4 linked regions of the Caenorhabditis elegans genome follow. The protein of the gene in region 1 purifies or fractionates together with the protein of each later gene. This does not show direct contact. Each region holds a gene or a part of one and is shown in the gene's direction. Other genes may lie near its edges. The genes, in order: T21D12.12, F53F4.15, srbc-68 and emc-2.

The links.
Region 2: the proteins of T21D12.12 (region 1) and F53F4.15 fractionate together in Caenorhabditis elegans (co-fractionation; one large-scale study listed by BioGRID). This does not show direct contact.
Region 3: the proteins of T21D12.12 (region 1) and srbc-68 fractionate together in Caenorhabditis elegans (co-fractionation; one large-scale study listed by BioGRID). This does not show direct contact.
Region 4: the proteins of T21D12.12 (region 1) and emc-2 fractionate together in Caenorhabditis elegans (co-fractionation; one large-scale study listed by BioGRID). This does not show direct contact.

The regions. Positions count from the first base shown.
Region 1 is NC_003282.8:264,359-269,880, forward strand, and holds T21D12.12 (BPTI/Kunitz inhibitor domain-containing protein), read left to right. Parts: upstream 1-2,089; 5' UTR 2,090-2,092; coding exon 2,093-2,263; intron 2,264-3,257; coding exon 3,258-3,348; intron 3,349-3,392; coding exon 3,393-3,506; intron 3,507-3,680; coding exon 3,681-3,744; intron 3,745-3,801; coding exon 3,802-3,913; 3' UTR 3,914-3,964; downstream 3,965-5,522. Other genes in the region: crmb-1 (Serine/threonine-protein kinase), read left to right, coding at 5,049-5,080, 5,128-5,522.
Region 2 is NC_003283.11:13,617,745-13,622,013, forward strand, and holds F53F4.15 (Neuropeptide-Like Protein), read left to right. Parts: upstream 1-3,231; 5' UTR 3,232-3,262; coding exon 3,263-3,410; intron 3,411-3,456; coding exon 3,457-3,662; 3' UTR 3,663-3,732; downstream 3,733-4,269. Other genes in the region: srd-11 (G-protein coupled receptors family 1 profile domain-containing protein), read right to left, coding at 107-224, 267-457, 911-1,183, 1,228-1,381, 1,431-1,597, 1,832-1,942; F53F4.16 (uncharacterized protein), read right to left, coding at 3,838-3,897, 3,942-4,076.
Region 3 is NC_003283.11:3,544,614-3,549,185, reverse strand, and holds srbc-68 (G-protein coupled receptors family 1 profile domain-containing protein), read left to right. Parts: upstream 1-2,568; coding exon 2,569-2,743; intron 2,744-2,784; coding exon 2,785-3,242; intron 3,243-3,287; coding exon 3,288-3,509; downstream 3,510-4,572. Other genes in the region: srw-130 (G-protein coupled receptors family 1 profile domain-containing protein), read left to right, coding at 288-385, 433-1,027, 1,675-1,889, 1,935-2,076, 2,137-2,217.
Region 4 is NC_003280.10:1,301,048-1,308,489, reverse strand, and holds emc-2 (ER membrane protein complex subunit 2), read left to right. Parts: upstream 1-2,353; 5' UTR 2,354-2,370; coding exon 2,371-2,407; intron 2,408-2,460; coding exon 2,461-2,594; intron 2,595-2,938; exon of another isoform or gene 2,939-2,989; intron 2,990-3,105; coding exon 3,106-3,294; intron 3,295-3,350; coding exon 3,351-3,434; intron 3,435-3,486; coding exon 3,487-3,645; intron 3,646-5,339; coding exon 5,340-5,435; intron 5,436-5,491; coding exon 5,492-5,596; intron 5,597-5,747; coding exon 5,748-5,828; 3' UTR 5,829-5,991; downstream 5,992-7,442. Other genes in the region: alh-6 (L-glutamate gamma-semialdehyde dehydrogenase), read left to right, coding at 475-933, 983-1,320, 1,889-2,105; glb-31 (Globin domain-containing protein), read left to right, coding at 6,992-7,096.

The DNA.
Region 1 (5,522 bases):
TCCTCTTTAAGCACTTAAATTTAAATTTGAAAAATCGATAATTCAATGTTCAAATAGCAGTAAAAATATTGTGTGGGAGGATTCTTTCCGTAGAGCAACACAAAAGTCCCCATCCAGGCCAGCAGATAGTGTAAAACAGCCGTCGTCAGTGTTGAAAAAGTGAGAGAGTGTTGGGAACAATAAGAGACGTAGAGTTGGAAGGAGAGTTTACGACAAATGAGAGATTGGGTGAAAAGAGGATGGTGCAGATAAATGGTGTGTGTGGGGGAGAGAGAAGGCTTTGGGATACATATAAATGTATGGGAATAGGAAAGAAGAACGGAAAGTTAATATTTGTATATGCATATGTATTGAGAAAGAAAAGGACGTCCATATAACAACTAATATTCAAATAAATAAAAATAAAAATAAATTAAGAAAGACAACAACTCTGCATTTACCGTATTTTCGCTATTAGTCTTGCATGCGAGACTAATTTTCAATTGGTCTTTAGGGGTGCAAGACTAATAGAGACTGAAAACTATTTTTCGAACTTTGGAAAGTGATACAATTTTGACCGTTCAAACAATGAAAAATACATACTTTCCCAATATTACATCAATTATTTGAACGATTTTACATTTGATTTACTCCAAAAATGATAAATTTGCTTACGTTTCCACAAAGTTCTGCTAATATGACAAAAAGTGGGGTGCTAGACTATTACAGGCTGTAAGACTGATTTTCAATTAGTCTGTAGGAGTGCAAGACTAATAGAGGAAATACGGTACAGTCGGTCCACAGGTCGGTCTTTTGAAAATAGTTTTTTCCATAGCAATTTTTGAAAAAATTTTGAAAAACAATTTTAGGAAAAAATTATGAAAAATCACATCAGTTACATTGATTATACGTACGGTACATTCGATTTCCTGGCGTATGATAATAGTTGCATTAAACCGAAATCAGATTAAGAAACATTGAACTAGTAATTGTAAAAATTAGCATGCAATCTAGAAAATTAGGAAATCTGAAAATTATTAAAGGTGGAGTAGGGCCAATGGAGTAAGTGTTAAAAAATACTCCTATGGTGCCAAAGTGACAAATAATCATAATAAAACTTTTCAAAACTTTTTTGAAAAATTTTTATTCACTGTCAAAAAGTGTTCAATATTCAGTTTTTGCCACTCATAATTTTGGAAGTCGACCAAAAAAAATTATTTTTCCTACATTTTTTATACTGTAATTTTGTTTCAATTATTTTTGTTGAATCATTGTAAAGACCGGAATATGCGACATTGCTTTGGATGTCCTCAAAAGCTCATATTTGTCAAAATTTTGGTAATGTGCCAAAACTTTGACCGAAATTAGGGAAAATCTAAAAATTTTTGTAGTTTTATTATGATATTCGGTCGTTTGAAATCATAATAAGCGTATTTAGACAAAATCCCCATTGACGCTACTCCACCTTTAAATTTTTGAAATTTCGTGTACTTCCTTCAAATTTGTTTAATCATCAACCCGATGCGTCTATCCTTCGTTATCAACAAATTGTAGGTGTCTGTGTCAAGAACTATTGTATCTCGTACAATCGAAAAACCAGTTCCTTCATTTTCAAAACGCTCCCTTATTTTCTTTGTTATCAACAATTCGATTTGTAAAAACGGAACCACATCGATTGTTGTCTCTTGTTATTACATCAATTCCTACACCATTTTCAGTCAAAGTGTGGATATTTTCTGAAAACTGAGCGATTTCAGCCAAATATTTGCCTGTTTTTCATTTTTCAATAAAACTTTGCCATGTTTTCAATCGTGCCCATTGATCTTTAATGAATTCTTTTTCGGGAGAATGTGTAGGTTATTTGTTAACCACCAACTCAATTTTGAACATTTTCCTGTTGACCAAACTTTTGATATTTGCCAAATCTTAGTTATGTAGGTGGGACGAAGATTCTTAAGTAAATATTGCTAGGAATTTGAGTATAAAATAGGAAAAGATCATTCGAGAATTGAAGTTTTCTTTTTGGTTTCTGCTTTTAATTGGCATTGGCTAGTAATATTATTCCACTCTCATTGATCATTAACGGGTAAAAAAAATTGTATTTTTTCAGACAATGCTAACTGCAATTACGATTTCCACCATTTTCATAACATTTTGCTTTGCTCAACAGCAGACAGATTGTTTTTCCGCTCGCGATACTGGAAATTCTGGATGTGGTCAGCAGGGAGCCCGCTCATTTTATTTCCACAAGAATACCCGCACATGTCAGCCATTTTTCTATCAGGTACTGTTTTTTCCAGTAGTCCTTTAGCATACTACCTATATTAGGTTTAGGTTTAGGCTTAAGCTTTGGTTTAGAGTTAGGCTGACAAGGGAAGCCTTTCAGCTCGTCCTCGGACTTCCGAATGAAACCTATTATAATTGAAAGAGGACCTTAATAGAAGGTCACTCCAAAATTTTTAGTCTCGGAGGAGGCTTACTAGGGAACCGTCAGAAGGTGCCCATCGGACTTGCATATGAGACCTATGCCATTCGATAACCCATGTCTTAAAACGGTTACTCGTGAATTTTTAGCTGCGAATCTCCAGAACCAAGCTCACGGCGAGCTCTCAAAGATCTTAAAATAGCACTGTAACGAAGCTTTGAAAGGTCAATTTTCCAAATTCACTTTGGTAGCTCATATCTCCGCCGATAAATTTTTTACAGAAAAGTCATCAACTAAAAAGTTGTTGATATTGTTGTAAAGAACAAGTTTTTAGTTAAATCTGAAACAACAATTTTTTTGATAAAAACTTTCAACTACAAGTTTTTATCAAAAAAATTTTTAGTTGATGACTTTTCTGTAAAAAATATATCCACGGAGATATAGGCTACCAAAGTGAATTTGGAAAATTGCTTCTTTTCATCGTTACAGTGCTTCGTTATAGTGCTATTTTAGAATCTTTGAGAGCTCGCAGTGACCTTGGTTCTGGAGATTCGCAGCTAAAAATTCACGAGTAACCGTTTTAAGACATGGGCTATCGAATGGCATAGGTTTCATATGCAAGTCTGATGGGCACCTTCTGATGGTTCCCTAGTTAGGCTTAGGTTTTGTCATAGGCTAAGGTTAGGCTTATGCCCAGGCTAAGGGCCATACTTACGGTATATTCTTAGCTTGTGCTTGAGCTGATGCTAGGAATATACCTTATCTTCTCACAAACGGAAATTTCTCGTTGAATTTAACAGAATAGTATACTTCTTGGAAAAACGTTCAATTAAAATGAATAAAACAATTTTAGGGATGCGACGGCAACTCCAATCGATTCCAATCGAAAGAGGCTTGTGAATCAGCTTGCCGGAACGCGACTGCTTCTGACGATTTAGCTTACGGTTAGTTGAACAATGGATGACAAAGGTGTATAATAGTTTTTCAGCTGTATGTCCATCTGGAGCATACCCAGCTGGAGCCACTTCTGGTCAGACTGTTGGATGTTCGAATTGCCCACATGGTTACGAGTGTCAAAATCAACAATGCTGTCCAACAAAAGGTTACTATTTTCTGAAGAGATTTTGAAAAGTTATAGTGATCTTTAAAACACAAGTTTAAAGCGGTTTGTACTTTGTCTGAACACTGGTGTTTTAGAACTAAAAACTCTGTTTCGATGTGTAAATATTTATTCAAATGTGAAAGAAGCACAACAAAAGATCGAAGAAATTTGCAGAAAACACATGTAGTTTGCAGTACGACGCTGGAAAATTCGGATCTAGTGGAAAACATACACCCAGGTAAGAATTCAACTAATTTTTATTGTACTTTCACGGATTCAATAAATTAAATTTCAGATATTTCTTCTCAAAGTCCTACAAGAACTGCATGCTGTTCACTTTCTATGGCCGCGATGGAAATGCTAACAACTTTGCTACGTACAACGAATGCAAAAACTTTTGCATGTAACATTTTAGCAAATAACAGTAGTTTTCTTAATGTATATAAATATTTCAAACGAAAACAATTTATTTTGCACAAAGACCTATATAAATGAATCATGCAAGTTGATAAAAATTACCAAAAAATCAAGTAAAGACGTGTTTAAATATCTTAATACTAGTTCAAAATAGATATTATTTACAGTAATATCACGGAACAGAGAAACTGGAATATCATAATAACTTCTTGCCACGATTTTAGTGGATAATCAATACATATAAGTACGAATAAACATAGTCATGTACTATATTACGTTAATTGAAAATTTTTCGGTAGCATTTCTAGTTTTATAGTTATACTTATTTGAAAAATTAGTGAAATTATCAAAAAACTAAAAGTGGATATCTTTTCGGCCAGCACTGTAATTGAATGTATTGTTTTCGCAGTTTTTTTAAAAATCATTTTTTATTTTGTTACTTACATTCGAGCGCACCCTTCAGATGTCTGCCGAAATAGCTTTTCTAAAAACTTGTGAAATTGAAAAGAGTTCAAATTTTCGTTGCAAAATCTTTTAATACATTCGGATTAAGAAGAATTTGTGTAAAACAAAAATGCTCAGTTTTCAATGTTTGCATGTTTTGAACAAATGCCTTGTTTAATGTTCTTAAAATCTTTTAAAACCAAAAACTCAAAGTATCAAACGCTATTGAAAACATTTATGTAGTTTAATTCATTCCTTGTTTCAATGCTTCATTCATTGTTTTCTGATCATCCAAAATGTTTGCTTCTTGCGTTATTCGATCATAAAAATAAAACGGTTTCAAAAAGTTCCGCTCGAGGCCAATTTGCAGCAGAGGAAGATGGAAGTGCACGCGCATCGAAGCAGTTTACAACTTCTCATGAAAGTGGAATCAAGACACATCCGTGGAAAATGATTCAGTTGAAGCTACAATTGTGTGAAATTAACGCCTACAAGACAATCTAAACAATCAGAATTGAACTTTCAAGATGTTTTCTTTCCTTTAGACAAAGTTTGTAAAATACTCAATTTTGTTCTATAGTAATTTTTGATAATGCTGTTTTAGGAGTTTCTGTCAATTTCAAAATGCTTCGTCTTCTTATTTTGCCAACAATATTGATAATACCTTTCTCAAATTCATGCATGACAACTTATCCAGCAGACACTCCTATTATGTAAGTTTCATTATTGTTGCCTTAAAATAATATATATATTCCTAAAGAACGCAACCTCCATCTCCAGATTCACCATCATCTTCCAATGGCTCCAGCACCAGTCTTAGCGAAAATTTGAATAACAACTCCGTTTCTAACCAAATCGAATATGTTAATCAAAATAATAATAGTGATAATTTTACAGTCGGCCTAGGATTTTTAGGGGCTTCTGGAAACTATGGAAATTATAGTTCACATTTGAATAATAACCTTTCTATTAGTCAAAATCAAAGCGTTTCCCTAAATTCTTCAAGTTCTAGTGTAGGAGCTGGGTTAACGCCTGGAAACGGATCAGTGGGTAGCACATCCAACTCCAGCTCGGCAGCTAGTTCAATTCAAAACATAGGTTTAAACAGTAGTCTGATCAACTCTAACACTAATAATTTGTCAAGTTCTAGTCATA
Region 2 (4,269 bases), on another chromosome or scaffold:
AGTGACTGCAAAGTGGAGAATATTATTGGGATTATATAAGTTGATAAGGGGTGGTTAGTAGGTACAAAAAACGTGCTGATAAAATAAAAGATCGATTAGTTCAATTTCAATGTTTAGATTTGATTTCATTTGAAGGAGCGACACTTGATGTTGCATTGGTTCTAGTCGCATTCAACACTGTAAGCCACTCATCTGGAATTGGATTTCCAATCATTTTGTACCACCTGAAAATAGGAATTATTTTTTAATAATTGTTTCAAGCTCACCATGATAGAACTCGTTTCTGGTAAATTTGAATAAATATCAGGCAAGAGAGTGGAGAAAGAACAGGCATAAAAAGGAATCCTGTGAGCGTGAGATATTCAAATACGGGGTGATTGAAAAAGAATTGCCCAATGACGTAAGATACAATGCTCATTCCGTAAAAGCCAGGGATCATGGCTTGCCATGTGAGAGCCTGAAAGGTTTTGGCGTTTGAAGTAATTCGTAAGCATTTCGTCACGTTTTTAATGCAGAAATCAATTGTTTGAAAAATTTCAATCGTCTCGGAGGCAACTTGATAAGTGCAACAAAAATAAGTTGCCACCGAAATCCTACATGATATCTGGTAATTTTTTGAACTAAAAGTAAGGTTTTTTAATAATTAGCTCACTGACGAAGGCGGACTACGGGCGATCCTAGGAACCTAGAACATAGGTTCAAACTTTTTTGCCAAGTTTATTACTTCTACTCACCATACTTCTACTCAAATTTTGTCCAAATCTAACCAGCTGCTAAGCAAAGTTCTTTTAGTCTAACTTGGATGCGAATGTTGTCATGTTTTATGATACATTGCTCATTCCACCCCAACCATAAAAGAAAGCATCATGCATCAACCGTAATCGTTTTGTTATTACCCGAACGCCCATACCTTCAATAGCTGCTTATGCATTTCTTTAGTTTTTGATGACATATCCTTTGAATTAGAAGTAAGGTTCTCAATAATCTTTTTTCTTAATATCCAAATAGTTATGTAGACTGGTGTTATTGGGCACGTCATATGTAGAATTGTGAACATTGCAGAAAACTCAATAATATTAATTGTTCCGCAAATAGTTTCGTTTTGAAGTTGATATTCCGGAAATCGTTCGACGACAATTCGCTTCATTTCATCTGCGTCATCGTCTGCCCACAGAAATGTTATCTTAAAAGTATCAGCTTGAAATCTAAATTGTTTCACATTATTACCATTTGGATAATTGACGGAATTGATATAAACATAAGAATTACTATCAAAGCTTTTCTCGTTGGTGCCGGATGAAACAGGATATAATATCGATATGAGAACCCCATTAGCAATGACCATAGACCATGAGCTACTAATGAAATGTTTATGCTGTATCTGAAATTAAGAAAATGAAGCGTGTCGGGGAATATGTATTATGGTGTACATAAAATAGCAGACATGGGGTCCAAAATAAGTGCACAGTCCACGTGACAAATAAGCCATTGTAAATCCAGCCGGAATATGCCGCATTTGAATGAAAAGATCTGTGAAACAGGCGAGGAAATCGGTCAATGCAAAGTTTATGAGAATTGTGGTGTAAGCGGCGATTGTCTGGAAATGGAAACTGATGTTTGAAGGTTGAAATTGCTTGTCTATGTGATGAGGAATTTCTGCAGAACATTTCCAGCTATCCCACACCTAGTTATAATGGCAGAGTTCTGTAGAAAGCTGAGCCTATATTACGAGATTTGCACAGTTTTTACCAAACTGGGAACTAAAGCTCTCAAATTTTGATTTTAATCTATATTTTATGATTAGTTCAAAGATTTTTCACGAAAAACTAACCTTCGGAGTCCGAAAAAGTGCCAAAAAGAGCACAATTGAATTGAGAATGCAGCCAGAAACTCCGGCAAACGTATGGAAAGAAAGGAAGAATAATGTGATAGAGTCCAGCATTTTTCAAGTTTTTCTGAAAGTGAAAAAAAAAATGGTAAAAGCTCTCTCTTAAATATAAATTTTTCAATAGAAAGAAAATCTTTATTTTAAGGCTTCACTGGAACGATGACTGTGAAGATTATGGTTACAGAATGATTATATTGTTCTAAGGAATGCTAAGAATTTTGCAAAATAAATAATTTTTTGGGAACTAGATTTTCCGTAATCCGTAAAAAAGTAAACAATTATCATATCTATTCACTCGACTTTTCGAAAAAGGAAGGAAAACACATCATGTGCACGTAAGATATCTCTATTTATGCTTCCTCGTGATGGCTCTCAGAGCTGTTAATTGCTTCATTCAGTAGAAAGCGTCTGGCGTACCTGAGAATATATGTACTGTTTGAATTACTCATAGTCTGGGATATATCTGTGTCGTTTCGTATTATATCAATAGTCTAGAACATTAAGTTAACTTGATGTTCTAGACAATTGTCAAAAAAAATTTACAGATCATCAAAATAGCGACGCCTTAATCATATTAAATCTATTACATAGATGTCTGAAGATGATAATTTTTGCCATATCTTACGCGCTTGGGTCTCGCCACGCTGACTACTGACTACTGTAACTCGTGCTGATTTATGACTGATCATGTTTTTATTTAAAAATTTTAGAAGCAATGTTTCATTTGAAACGAAAATTATAATGCATTATTACAGTAACTCGTTGTCAGCGTGGCGAGACCGTGCGCATAAGTATTTAAGATGTGGCGAAAATTCTTATCTTTAGATGTCTAGAATGCGTATTGCGCAAAATATTTCGCGCTACAGTAGTAATTTAAATATTTTCTGTAGTTTTCGCTACGAGATATATTGCGCGTCAGATATGTTGCACAACACGCATTCTCAGAAAGTAGTGATCTCGTAATAATACATTTGGTTAAGGCGATGTCCACGAATTACAAAATTTTATGAGAAAAATATAGGCAAGTTTTAAGAATTCATTCTTGTTCTCTTTCAGAGGTAAATAACGATTGGCTTTTACGCTGAGAAATTGGAAGTGAAACGGTAGAAGTTAAATCCAACCTACAACCTAATGCATCGTTATTCAAAAATTATGTTGTTATTTGGAAAACCTGATAAATCTGAACTATTTATATTTTTAAAGTTAATTTTCAATTAACTTTATTACATACAAAAATGCATTGCGAATCCAGTTCGCCCATATTTTTCAATCTGTCGAGATCACTGAGATATCACCAAAAAATCGTGTTTTCTTGAAGTTTTTCACCTAATCGTCTTTTCCATATTTCTCTTTCCCATTGTATGATTATCAATAATGTTTTCTCTTCATCTCTCTATTCTTTGCTTCACTCTCCTGATTGGTTATTCTATTGAAATGCCACCTGGTCGAATGTGCCTTCCGGAAAGAGTCAATTTTCGTAAAGTCTGGCCATGTGAACATGATAAAACTGCTGCCGAGATTTGTAGGTTTCACGGAGAAGTTGTAGAATTTAATATTACTTTTTGAAGTAGAAGAACGGGAAGATCGTGAAGCAAATCTTCGTGGAGCTCCGTCTGCATTTGCTCGGACAGGATTCTATGATCGTCTATTTCTTCAACAAAATCTTCCAACTGTCTATGATGATAATATTCCATATTATCCTAATTATGGCTACAATCCCAACAAGCCAGTCTGGGGATTGTATCGTTATTCTAACTATTTCATCAATCCATAATTAAATAATTTTAATGAATGAATAAATTTAAAATGATAACAAACAACGACTAAAAACTAAAAGAAAAAAACGAAAAGGGCCTATGGGGGAAAACTCAAAACCAATGATAATGGCGGAAAAATACTCGTATTTGACAAAAATTCGGAGAATGATGAGGAATTGCACATCGATAGATCTAGTTTTTGACGATTGCCGGATGTAGAATCTCGTCACGAAGTGATTTTCCGCCAAGAACCTAAATATATTTCATTAACTGCAACTAATTAGATTTAATTTTACCTGTGCTCTGTCTGGAATATAACTTTTGTAGTTGATCGCCACATATGTAGGATATGTGAGTGCACATACAGTATAATAAGCTCGTAGCAAGGTCATTCGAGCAGGCCGTTCCAGGTGATACCAGGGTAAACTCATCTGGAATAAAAGTCATGAAGTCAAGAAAAATTAGTTCTTTTATGGGTAGAATGAAAGATTCAACTCAATTTTTCAAAATTTAGAAAATCACCGAAAATCACAAAAATTGGTAAAATTGATAATTTTTCAACAAAAAAGTGAATTTCTATGTAGTTTTATTCATGTTTCGTTGACGTTTTTTTAAGTTCGAAAT
Region 3 (4,572 bases), on another chromosome or scaffold:
CACCCCTGGTTCAAATGCAGCTTGAAGGAAGCTTAAAGTGTCTGAATTCGAACTTTGTGCACAATTTATGTACTTTACGCGGAAATTCAAATTTTGTTTATGTTTTTTGCCTCTCTACTTGTTTTTCCTGATAAGCGTCATCAAAAATCACCTAGTGATCGAATCCTGAATATCAAATTTTCCATCTGTCTCTAATCTGCATTATTGAGTTAACTCCTGAAAGAAGTGTCAAAAAACAAGAAAAACCAGCTGTACCCATAACTACTTCCGATTTTTTCTGCTCGGAGATGGAAGTGTTCGATTGCAGGTCGGATCTTGATTTCTGCTTCCCAGGTTACGATAAGTCAACTGCACTTGCCTATTGCGATTTTCAAGAATTCGTTGAGTACGTAGGCTAAAGTTTTGAACAAAAAAATCCAAATTTGTTTTCAGAAAATTTTCATCTAGAATCTTAAACTACGAATCTTACATCTCAGTCGCCAGTTTTTTCATAAACATATTCCATTTCATAATTCTAACCCGAAAACCAATCAGAACTTCTTCAGTGAATATTATAATGACAGCAATTGCCATAGTTGAAATTTTATCCCTATTTTATAACTTTAAAACATCAATTCTCTATTGGCTCCGTACCAATTATAAATGCTTCAACTCAAATTCACATGCTTCCGTTCTAATTGACCTGTGCTTTATCAAACTCAGAGATTTTGCTCGACGATGCTCTCCGTGGCTCTGCTTGTCAATCGCCATGATCCGAGCACTTGTGATTCGTAATCCAATGAGCCAAAAGTTTGAAAAGTTATCTATGCCAAGAGCATCTGTTGTAGTTATTTTTGGAATTTTGTCAATTAGCTTGTTCATGGATATTTTGGATTTTTTCGGCTATAAAATTGCTTCCCAGAAAAATTATTCACCATGCTCCAAAGACGATAAGCTAGAATATGCCATTCTTCTATCAAAGTTGTACTCCAAAAATGACGGGTTTCTGATAAAACTATATTCCACATCAAATGCAATGATTTCTCATGTAAGTTTTTTTAAAACTGTAATGGTACCGTGGGTATACTGTATGATTACTGTAGTTTCAGAAATATGAGCTTTCGTTTTTGTAAGAGATATTTGGGGATAGTGTCGGGGTACTGTAGTAGTACTTTAGGGGTACTGTAGGAGTACTATAAGATTACTGTAGTAATTGAGGTTTTGTCTTTTGAAGAGACAGTGCCGAGTTACTGTAATAGTGATGTAGGAGTACTGTAGGAATACTGTAATTCTAGAAATTTGAGTTATTGTTTTTTCAAAAGAATAGTGAGGGATAGTGGCGGGGTACTGTAATGGTACTGTGGAAGTAATGTCGTAATAGGACTACTGTAGCTCTATTTATTTGATTTTTTGTTTTATGAAAAGATAGTGTCGGGTACTGTAGGAGTCCGAAGTGGTACAGTAGGGGTACTGTAGGGACACTCTAGGAGTACTGTAGAATTATTTTAGTTCTAGAAAAATTTAGTTTCTGTTTTTACAAGAGATACTTGGAGATAGTATCGGGGTACTGTAGAAGCTGTAGGATTACTTTAATACTGGAAATTTGAGTTTTTTCATTTGAAGTGATAGTGGGGATAGTGTCAAAGTAGTGAGGGGTTACTGTAAGGGTTACTGTAGATCGCAACAAATTTTCAGATCATTCCTTCGATTCTCTTTCCTATAGTCACATTTTTTCTTGTAAACGTCCTACGAAAAGCTAAAAAATCTCGGAAACTGGTATCCAAGACCGATAGTAATACGAAGTCTACAAAAATCATAATCTATACAGCGATTATTTTTCTAATTGTTGAGCTTCCACTTGGAATCAATCTGGCGATCATTTGGTTTTTCAATAATTCCGTTGGAATCAAGTAAGTTTGACGGCAAAAAATTGGCTGAAACAGCTAGCTTTTCAGGCTGATTCTTGATCAATTTGAAGCTCTTTTTTATATGCTACTTACCGCAAACACAATTTCCCATTTCTTTGTTTGTTTCGTCTTGTCTTCACAATACAGGGCAACACTGATAGATGTAGTGTCGTGCGGGATAAGTTTCCAGGTAGGAATAATTTTGAGCGAATTTGAAAAAGGAGCCGGTATGAACTCAATAAATTTTCAGAAGAACAGAATTGGAAATCTTTGCAAAAGTCGAAAAAGTTCACAACAAAATGTTATAACAGTAAATGCAATATCAATATGATCCATCATCTTTATAAGTCACCAAAGTATTATTTTCCATAAAATGAAGCAGCGTCCGACAAATGGCGGGTTCTGGCTCCCAAGTAATAATAATTTTTCGTCCAGTAATCAAACAATTCCTTCTAACATTGAACTTTTTTATTATTTTAGTTAGAGTAAGAATAAAACCCTATACAACTACTTGTGGTTGTGAAATAACTGCACAACGGAAATTATCTCATATTCTAGTGAGGCTTGTCACAAATGCTATCGATACTATTGTAGAACTTGCTGATAGCTGAGAAACGTCTGAAACCCTACGAAAAGTAACTTCTGTTCACAAAAACATTTTACTATTAAAGAGCCCAGAATAATGTCAACTATTGTTTTTATATATTCCTTTATTACTGTCATAGTCTGTTACTCAAATATTTGCCTAAATTTGATCCTTTTATTAGCAATTTTCTGCTCTAAAAGAGTCACTTTCAAATCTGAATTGTCTCTTTTCTATACAAGATTTGCTGCAGATATTGGATACAGTATTTCTAGTAAGTTTTTGAAAATCTAATTCAATTCAATTTTGATTCAGTTAGTAATTTCAAATTGTACATTTTGGCGGTTATGATTTCGGAAATATTTGCCGTTAAAAATTTCATTTTCATCACACTATGGCTTACTATTATATTTGGAATCATTCGAACAAGTCTATTATTTTTAACTACTTTGGATCGAGTCATTTCTCTATTCTTCCCTTTCTTCTATTGCGCAAACCGTAGCAAACTTCCACTATTTGCCATTTTTATTCTAATTTTTTCCTTGATAATTTTCGATCAAATTATCATGTTCGGATATTGTGGGAATACTATTGATACTCCCATGAACTGCGACCATTTCCGTTGTTCTTTCAATGAGTGCTACAGTATTTATTGGGTAGAGCACGAAAAAATTGTATTCAGTATGATCGTCGTTTTGACAGTATTGCAATTAGGGAAACTTGTTGTTTACACTGTTCTTGCACAGAACCAATCGGCTCAAGTTTATTCAAGAGTAAGGTGCTGTACCTTTAAAATATAAGCAATTCATAAATTTAAGGCTACCCAAATAGCTATGCTTGACTCAACAACTCTTATTTTATTCAATCTTGTTCCGGTCATGTCTACTTTTTGGTTTGAATCAGCTGATTATGAAACGTATTCGTCGTTTGCAACTCTCTCTAGAAATCTTGGATTTTTAATCAACACATTGATCATTTTTCGAATATTCATGAGAGATAAAAATAATACAGTGACAGCATTAACATCACCCAATTCTTAAGAACTTAATTTTTTTAAAATAAATGAATAAAATTGCTTCAAACTATTGCTTTTGGTTTTTTAGTAAATGTGTAAAGAATTGTACGTTGAAGGTCGCATAAAAAACTACCTTCAAATTATTAATTAATCCTATTTTTATCGACTGACGTTCTTGTTGTTTTTTTTAATTTTTATATTAACACATTAACACAAAAGATAAATTATCCAATTTGATAAAAATGAAATCCCGGCAGCGTCGTTTGAGTAATGTTTTTGCCTAGCCTGTCTGCACTTCATTTTAAAAATGCAATTATTATTGGTTTTATAGTAACAATGAAACGCATTCATATTTAATGCACTTTCTGTTCTTGGCCTGTACAATTAAGCTATTAGACAACTGCGTGAAAGGTATCTGCTGAACGGAAATTAACTAATATATTATTTACACAAAAGTTGAGTATTATTATCTTTTTGTCCCTAACAATAACATTATGTTTCCTATTTTCACAGTCATAACCAGTTACGTAACAGTCTATGAAATCGTGAGAAAAGCTAGATAATTGAATATTTTAAGATGTTATACTTTTTTTTTATTTTCAGTTTTCACAGACAATACTAATAAACAAAGTCTACGAGAGTCTCTAAAATCGTGAGAAAAAACTAGACATATTTGTTTCAATACTTGAGAACTGGACTTTTAGCTCTTGCTAGTACAAAAAATCAGTATTAATGTCAGTTATTATTATCATTAACTCTATGATAAATATTCTAGTTTGTTACTCAAATATATGCTTCAATTTGATCCTTTTATTAGCAATTTTTTGCCTCAAAAAAATCACTTTTAAATCAGAATTATCCCTTTTTTATACAAGATTTGTTGTAGATATTGGATACAGTTTTTCAAGTAAGTTACCGAAAATCTACCGAATTAATTTTTGGTTCAGTTAGTATATTCAAAATGTATATATTGGCGATTATAGCCTCAAACATATTTGCCGTCAAAAATTTTATATTTTTCTCAATGTGGTCTAATATTATGTTTGGAACTATTCGTACAAGTCTCTTATTTTTAACTTCTTTGGATT
Region 4 (7,442 bases), on another chromosome or scaffold:
GTCTGCTAGGCTACAAACTACAAGTTTTGATTTAGCAGACCCAATTCTATGGGTCTGCTAGACTACAAACTACAATTTTCAATTTAGCAGACCCAAGTAGTTTTAAATAAATTTGGTCTGCTAGACTACAAACTACAAGTTTCGATTTAGCAGACCCAAGTAGTTTTGAAGAAATTGGGTCTGCTAGGCTACAAACTACAAGTTTCGATTTAGCAGACCCAAGTAGTTTTGAAGAAATTTGGTCTGCTAGACTACAAACTACAAGTTTCGATTTAGCAGACCCAAGTAGTTTTGAAGAAATTGGGTCTGCTAGGCTACAAACTACAAGTTTCGATTTAGCAGACCCAAAATGCTGAGATTTCAGGCAATTTTTTTGGAATTTTTAACTTTTTTTTTTGAGAAATCTATGAAATTCGCGATTTTAATGCCATTTTCCCCTCGAAAAAAAAATCATTTTTATCCCAATTTTTTCAGGGTAACGTCTCCCTCTGGAAGCCATCGAACACCGCCGTGCTCTCCAATTATATAATCTACGAACTCCTCGAGGAAGCTGGTATGCCACCTGGAATTCTCTCATTCTTGCCATCAGATGGCCCCGTTTTCGGTGACGTCATCACCGCATCTCCACACTTGAGCGCTGTCAATTTCACTGGCTCCGTGCCAACTTTCAAGACGATTTGGAGAAAAGTCGCCGAGAATTTGGATAACTATGTGACTTTTCCGAAACTCATCGGAGAATGCGGCGGAAAAAACTTCCACTTTGTGCATCCATCCGCCCACGTGGACGCTGTCGCCGCTGGAACCGCCCGTTCCGCCTGGGAATATTCGGGACAAAAGTGCTCGGCGTGCTCCAGGATGTACGCGCCAAAATCGATTTGGCCAAAGATTCTCGAGAAAATCTCGGCGATTCACAAAGAGATCAAGCTTGGAGATGTAGGCCACTGTTTGGCTTGCCGATTTTTGTGTAGTTTGTAGTTTACAGGTTCGCGATGGATCCGTCTTTCTGTCGGCTGTGATCGATGATAAGGCGTTTGCCAGGCTCAAGGCCTACATTGACTTTGCGAAAACCGGAGCCGACGGAGCAAATGTGGTGCTCGGCGGAAAATGTGACGACAAAACGGGATACTTCATCGAGCCGACCCTGATCACTGTGACGGATCCGAAGAGCAAGCTTCTCACTGAGGAAATGTTCGGACCGGTGGTGACGGTACTGGTCTACGAGGATTCGAAGGTTGATGAGGTGCTCGCGACTGTGAAAGACGCGACACCTTATGGGCTGACTGGCGCCGTTTTTTCGCAGGATAAGGAGTTCCTTTATAGGTTGGCAACTACAAAAAATACAAGTTTTTGCACAGGTTTTCAGGGACTCAAAAATTTTATCTAAAAACCCAGCGGAAAGAAGAAAAACTCGAATTTTCGGGTTTGTTATGTTCAAAAATGCTGAAATTCAACATTTTAGGCACAAGAAAACTGCCAAAAGTCGATTTAAAATTATTCCCGGAAAATTCGAAATCTTGAAATTCTGTTTTTTCGGCAATTTTCAAGAAATTTCTCTATAACCGAACAAAATAGGTTAAAAAATGTCGAAAAACGATAATTACACAATTTCTCCAATAAAAACCCTCGAATTTCGTCACAAATCAAATGAAAAGCTAGAAAAACTGGCAAAAATCGAAAAAAAAAAGCGATAACAACAAACAAAAAATTTGAAAGCGACAGTAAGATGTTCCTGAGCGTGGCGAGACCCAACAGTGAAAGTGTGTGTCCCTTTAAAGGGCTACGGTATTTTTTATTGGAATTTTTGTTGGATTTCGATCGATTTTTCGAGATTTTTGAGGCGAATTTTTGTGTTAAAAACGTTTTTCAACAAAGTGTTTTTTTTTCTCAGAGCTCGCGATGTTCTCCGCGACGCCGTCGGCAACATGTACCTCAACGACAAATCAACTGGATCAATCGTCGGCCAGCAGCCATTCGGAGGCTCCAGATTGTCCGGAACCAATGATAAGGCCGGTGGCCCCCACTATGGGCTCCGATGGACCTCGCCGCTGACGATTAAGGAGACGTCGGTGTCATTGACTGACTGGAAATATCCATCAATGGAATAATTATGTTGTTTTTTTCTTTTCATTTCCGATTTTTCTCATATTGAGAATATAGTTTTCTTTTTGATTAGGTCAACAATTATTGCTTTACCACTGAATTTTAATTTTTTTTCCCCCGTGATCGCATAATAAATTTTGTTTTTTTTCCTTTTTTCCAGCTATAACCGTTTATTTTATAGTTTTCTCGCTATTTTTATACCTTCCAACCGAACTTTTCCATTAAAAAGTTGGAAAAAATCAATATTTTTCAGAAATTTCCCTCCCGAAAATGGTTGAAACCGAGTGGACGCAAGTCTCTTACGATGGTAACATTCTACAATATTCAAATTTTGAAAAAAAAATCGATAAATGCTTGCAGAAGGACGTCAAGCGCTGAAAAAGTGGCGAGAATGCGGAGTTCGACGAAGTGATGAGGTCGTCGAAATTTGGGAGCACGTTATTTCACGCTCACCGGCTTCTCTTGGAGACGAGCAATGGGCTGTGTTGGAGCAGGTGCTGAAATTTTGTCGAAAAACGCTGAAAATCCTGAAAATCTGGCTTTGAATAGAAAAAAACCATAGATTTTCTGGTTTTTTTGGTGAAAAGCATATTGGTCTGCTAGACTACAAACTACAGTATTATATTTAGCAGACCCACGCTTTTTTCTAAGTTATCACGTTTCTGGTTGATTAATAGTGAAAATAATACAAATTTCGGCGAAAAACTGGAAAAAATCAATAAAAACGGTCATTTTTTACTGAAAAAATGATTATTTTCGAGAAAAAATTCAATAATTTGGGTCTGCTAGACTACAAACTACAAATTCATATTTAGCAGACCCAAGTGGTTTCGATGAAATTTGGTCTGCTAGGCTACAAACTACAAATTCATATTTAGCAGACCAATGTAGTTTTGAGGAGATTTGGTCTGCTAGACTACAAACTACAAGCTTCGATTTAGCATACCCATACTCATTTTTCACGAGAAAATCGAATTTTCACCTAATTTTTCCAATTTTTTTCAGGTGTGCATCGCAGCACTCGACGCGGCTCGTGTCGATCTGGCTCAGGATTGCATTGACCAACTTCACGCACAATTTCCGAAGAGTAATCGAGTTTTGAAGCTGAAAGCGATGCAGTTGGAATCTACGGAACATTATCAGAAGGCGTTGGATATTTATGAGCGACTGGTTGAGGATGAGCCCAATAATAATGTAAAAAATTCAGGAAATTTTTTTTTTGCAAAATTTCTAATAATTTGAATTTTCAGAGCTTCCGCAAGCGAAAAGTCGCGGTTCTTCTCGCTCAGGGAAAGCGTCTCGACGCAATTCGAGCTATCAACGATTACCTGAAGGTTTTCATTTGATTTCTAGAAAAAAAAAACTCTAAAATTTATTAATTTTCAGATTTTCCTGAACGACCCAGAAGCTTGGCTTCAGCTCAGCGAGCTTTTCCTGCTCGAAAATGACGTGGCAAAGGCGGTACATTGCCTGGAGGAGTGTGTGCTCATTTCGCCGCTGAATTCCATGTATTTCAGACGATTAGCCGATTTGAGATATACTCAAGTATGTGTGTGGAAAATTGGAGAAATTTGGGCCTGCTGGGGGCTACAAACTACAATTCATATTTAGCAGACCCAAATACATTTTCAATGGAAATTGGTTTTTTCTCGTTTTTCTACTTTTTTTTTTGAAGAAAAAAAATCGAAAATTGTCAGTTTTCCGTCAAAAAAATGTCAGAAAAACAAATTTTCAACGAAAATATATTATTTTAATGCAAAAAATGAAGAAATTTTTAAAAAATATAGAGAAATTACCGAAAATGATTGAAAATTGATTTTTTTTAAGGAAAACTAAAAAAAATTGAACGGTCTGCTACAATGCAAACTACAAAGTACAATGTTCGATTTAGCAGACCCAAGTGATTTTGAAAAAATTGGTCTGCTGGACTACAAACTACAAGTTTCGATTTAGCAGACCCAAGTGATTTCAATTCGAAATTGGTCTGCTAGACTACAAACTACAATGTTCGATTTAGCAGACCCAAGTGATTTTGAAAAAAATTGGTCTGCTAGACTAAAAACTACAATGTTCGATTTAGCAGACCCAAGTGATTTTGAAAAAAATTGGTCTGCTAGACTACAAACTACAATGTTCGATTTAGCAGACCCAAGTGATTTTGAAAAACTTGGTCTGCTGGACTACAAACTACAAGTTTCGATTTAGCAGACCCAAGTGATTTTGAAAAAATTGGTCTGCTGGACTACAAACTACATATTCATATTTGGCAGACCCAAGTGATTTTGAAAAAAATTGGTCTGCTAGACTACAAACTACAATGTTCGATTTAGCAGACCCAAGTGATTTTGAAAAACTTGGTCTGCTGGACTACAAACTACAAATTTCGATTTAGCAGACCCATGTGATTTTGAAGAAATTCGGTCTGCTAGACTACAAACTACATATTCATATTTGGCAGACCCAAGTGATTTTGAAAAAAATTGGTCTGCTAGACTACAAACTACAATGTTCGATTTAGCAGACCCAAGTGATTTCAATTCGAAATTGGTCTGCTAGACTAAAAACTACAATGTTCGATTTAGCAGACCCAAGTGATTTTGAAAAAAATTGGTCTGCTAGACTACAAACTACAATGTTCGATTTAGCAGACCCAAGTGATTTCAATTCGAAATTGGTCTGCTAGACTAAAAACTACAATGTTCGATTTAGCAGACCCAAGTGATTTTGAAAAAAATTGGTCTGCTAGACTACAAACTACAATGTTCGATTTAGCAGACCCAAGTGATTTCAATTCGAAATTGGTCTGCTAGACTAAAAACTACAATGTTCGATTTAGCAGACCCAAGTGATTTTGAAAAAAATTGGTCTGCTAAACTACAAACTACAATGTTCGATTTAGCAGACCCAAGTGATTTCAATTCGAAATTGGTCTGCTAGACTAAAAACTACAATGTTCGATTTAGCAGACCCAAGTGATTTTGAAAAAAATTGGTCTGCTAGACTACAAACTACAATGTTCGATTTAGCAGACCCAAGTGATTTCAATTCGAAATTGGTCTGCTAGACTAAAAACTACAATGTTCGATTTAGCAGACCCAAGTGATTTTGAAAAACTTGGTCTGCTGGACTACAAACTACAAATTTCGATTTAGCAGACCCATGTGATTTTGAAAAAATTGGTCTGCTGGACTACAAACTACATATTCATATTTGGCAGACCCAAACTATATTTTTTGCAGGGAGGCGCCGAAAACGTGGAATTGGCTCGTTCCTACTACGAACGTGCGCTCAAAATCAACCCAACCGATTTGAGATCTCAATACGGAATTCTATTGGTAAGTGTAGTTTGTAGTTTGTAGTTTGTAGTTTGTAGTCTATATTAATGTTTCAGAGCAACAATTTGATCGCGGCGACCACCAAAAATGCGACGGAAAAGAAGAAAGCCGGAGCTGCAGCAGTTGATGCAATCGATAATTTGGTTAATCGTTATCAGAAGGTAGATTTTGATAAAATTAATAGTTTTTAATTGGAAAAAGCTCTAAAAACTCCAAAAAATGCCGAATTTCGGCTGTTTTTTCTTGAATTTTTTGAAAAAAAAATTCGAAAAAAATCGTGATTTTTCTAAAAATAACCTTAAAAAATTCCAGATAAGTCCAAAAAGCAATCCAGAATCGGACGGAATTCTCAATTGCCTCGAAGCCATGAAAGTCACTGTTGGAAGCAAATAAATTGTCAATTTCCTCCCAAAAAATGATATGCTTTACGTACATTCCCCCGAATATTCGATTATTTCCTATTTATTTTCTGTTAAAATTCAATTTTTTTAATGTCTATCGAAAGTATATTTATCGAAAAAAAGAACTCCTCAAGAATAAATAAATGTGATGATTTTTGCCACCGTTTTTGCTCCATTTTAGAGTCTTGGGTCTGCTAAATAGCTTTTTGTAGTTTGTAGTCTGGCAGACCAATTTTTGATAGCAATTTTTAGACTAAAAACTACTTTTTTCTTGAAAATCTTGAATTTTTGCGTTATTTCACATCTATTCCGGTTTTTCCGGCTCCTTTTTGGCGCTGAAATCGATAAGTTGGGTTACTGTAGCCTCAGAAGTACGCAAACACCATGCGACTCACGCAAAAATGCACAGAAACCTGAAAGATGCGCGAAAAAAGCCATACATGGGTAAAAATTTGTGTAGAATTCAATTTTTGTGTCAGAATCGTTTAAAAAATCAGTGAAAAATGATAATTTTCAGAAATGTTGAGCCAAAAAAAAATTATTGATTTTTGTGCATTATCAGTTTTAAATTTGGATTTTTATGTTTTTTCACCCATACGAGACTTTTTCGACTCCATTCGAGTTGTAATAAAAATTTCCGGGTTACTGTAGCCTCAAAAGTACGCAAACATGGAACACTTTACGCAAAAGTGCAGAGAATTCTAAAATTTGCGGAAAAAAGCTGCATAAGGGTAAAAATGTGTGTAGAATTCAATTTTTGATATCAGAATCGATAATAATCAGCGGAAAGTACACAATTTTCGTGCTACAAACTACAAAATCCAATTTTCTCGAATTTTTCCGTAGAATTCCGTATTTTAGTTCCTGAAACTCCCCTAAGAAACAGAGAAAAAGCAAAAAGAGCTCCCTCTTAAGAGGTGCTAATTTGTATAAAAAAGAAAAACAAATTAGCGCGGGGGGGGGGGGGCCTAAAAGGGGCGCTAATTAGCAATTTTGGTCCCCGTCTTCCTCCAAATTTTTGCACGTCTTCAGATTCTGAATGTATTCTGCAATATTCTGAGTACTTCTAATATTTCTAGCATGTTTTGAGATTCTTTTTGGAAACGAAAATTTTCAAACAAATTTTTTTTTGAAAATTTGAAAAAAATTCCAAAAATGGGCATAATTTTGGCGTATTTCCGACGTCCCAAGCTTGATATCGACAGGGTTCGGTCGGTCTGGATGGATCATATCAATGGAAACGATCAGTACTTCCAAGAGGTGAGTTTTTACATATTTTTGCCGATTTGGCCCGACAAAACTGCTTTTACTGGCTAGTTTTCTCAGAATTCTGTATTTTTCGCTGATTTTCTGAAGATTTCATTATCAAAATCGAATTCTACGTCAATTTTTACTCCGATAAGGCTTTTTTCCGCGAATTTTGGAATTATGTGCATGTTTGCGTGAAGTGTTTGGTGTTTGCGTACTTTTGAGGCTACAGTAACCCAAAATATTGATTTTTAAGCTAAATGAGCGGAAAAAAACGTGAGAAAGGTGAAAATAAGCTGAAAATTCAAATTTAATAGAGAAATTAACAAAAATTAGAATTTTTCAAGAAAAAAAAATG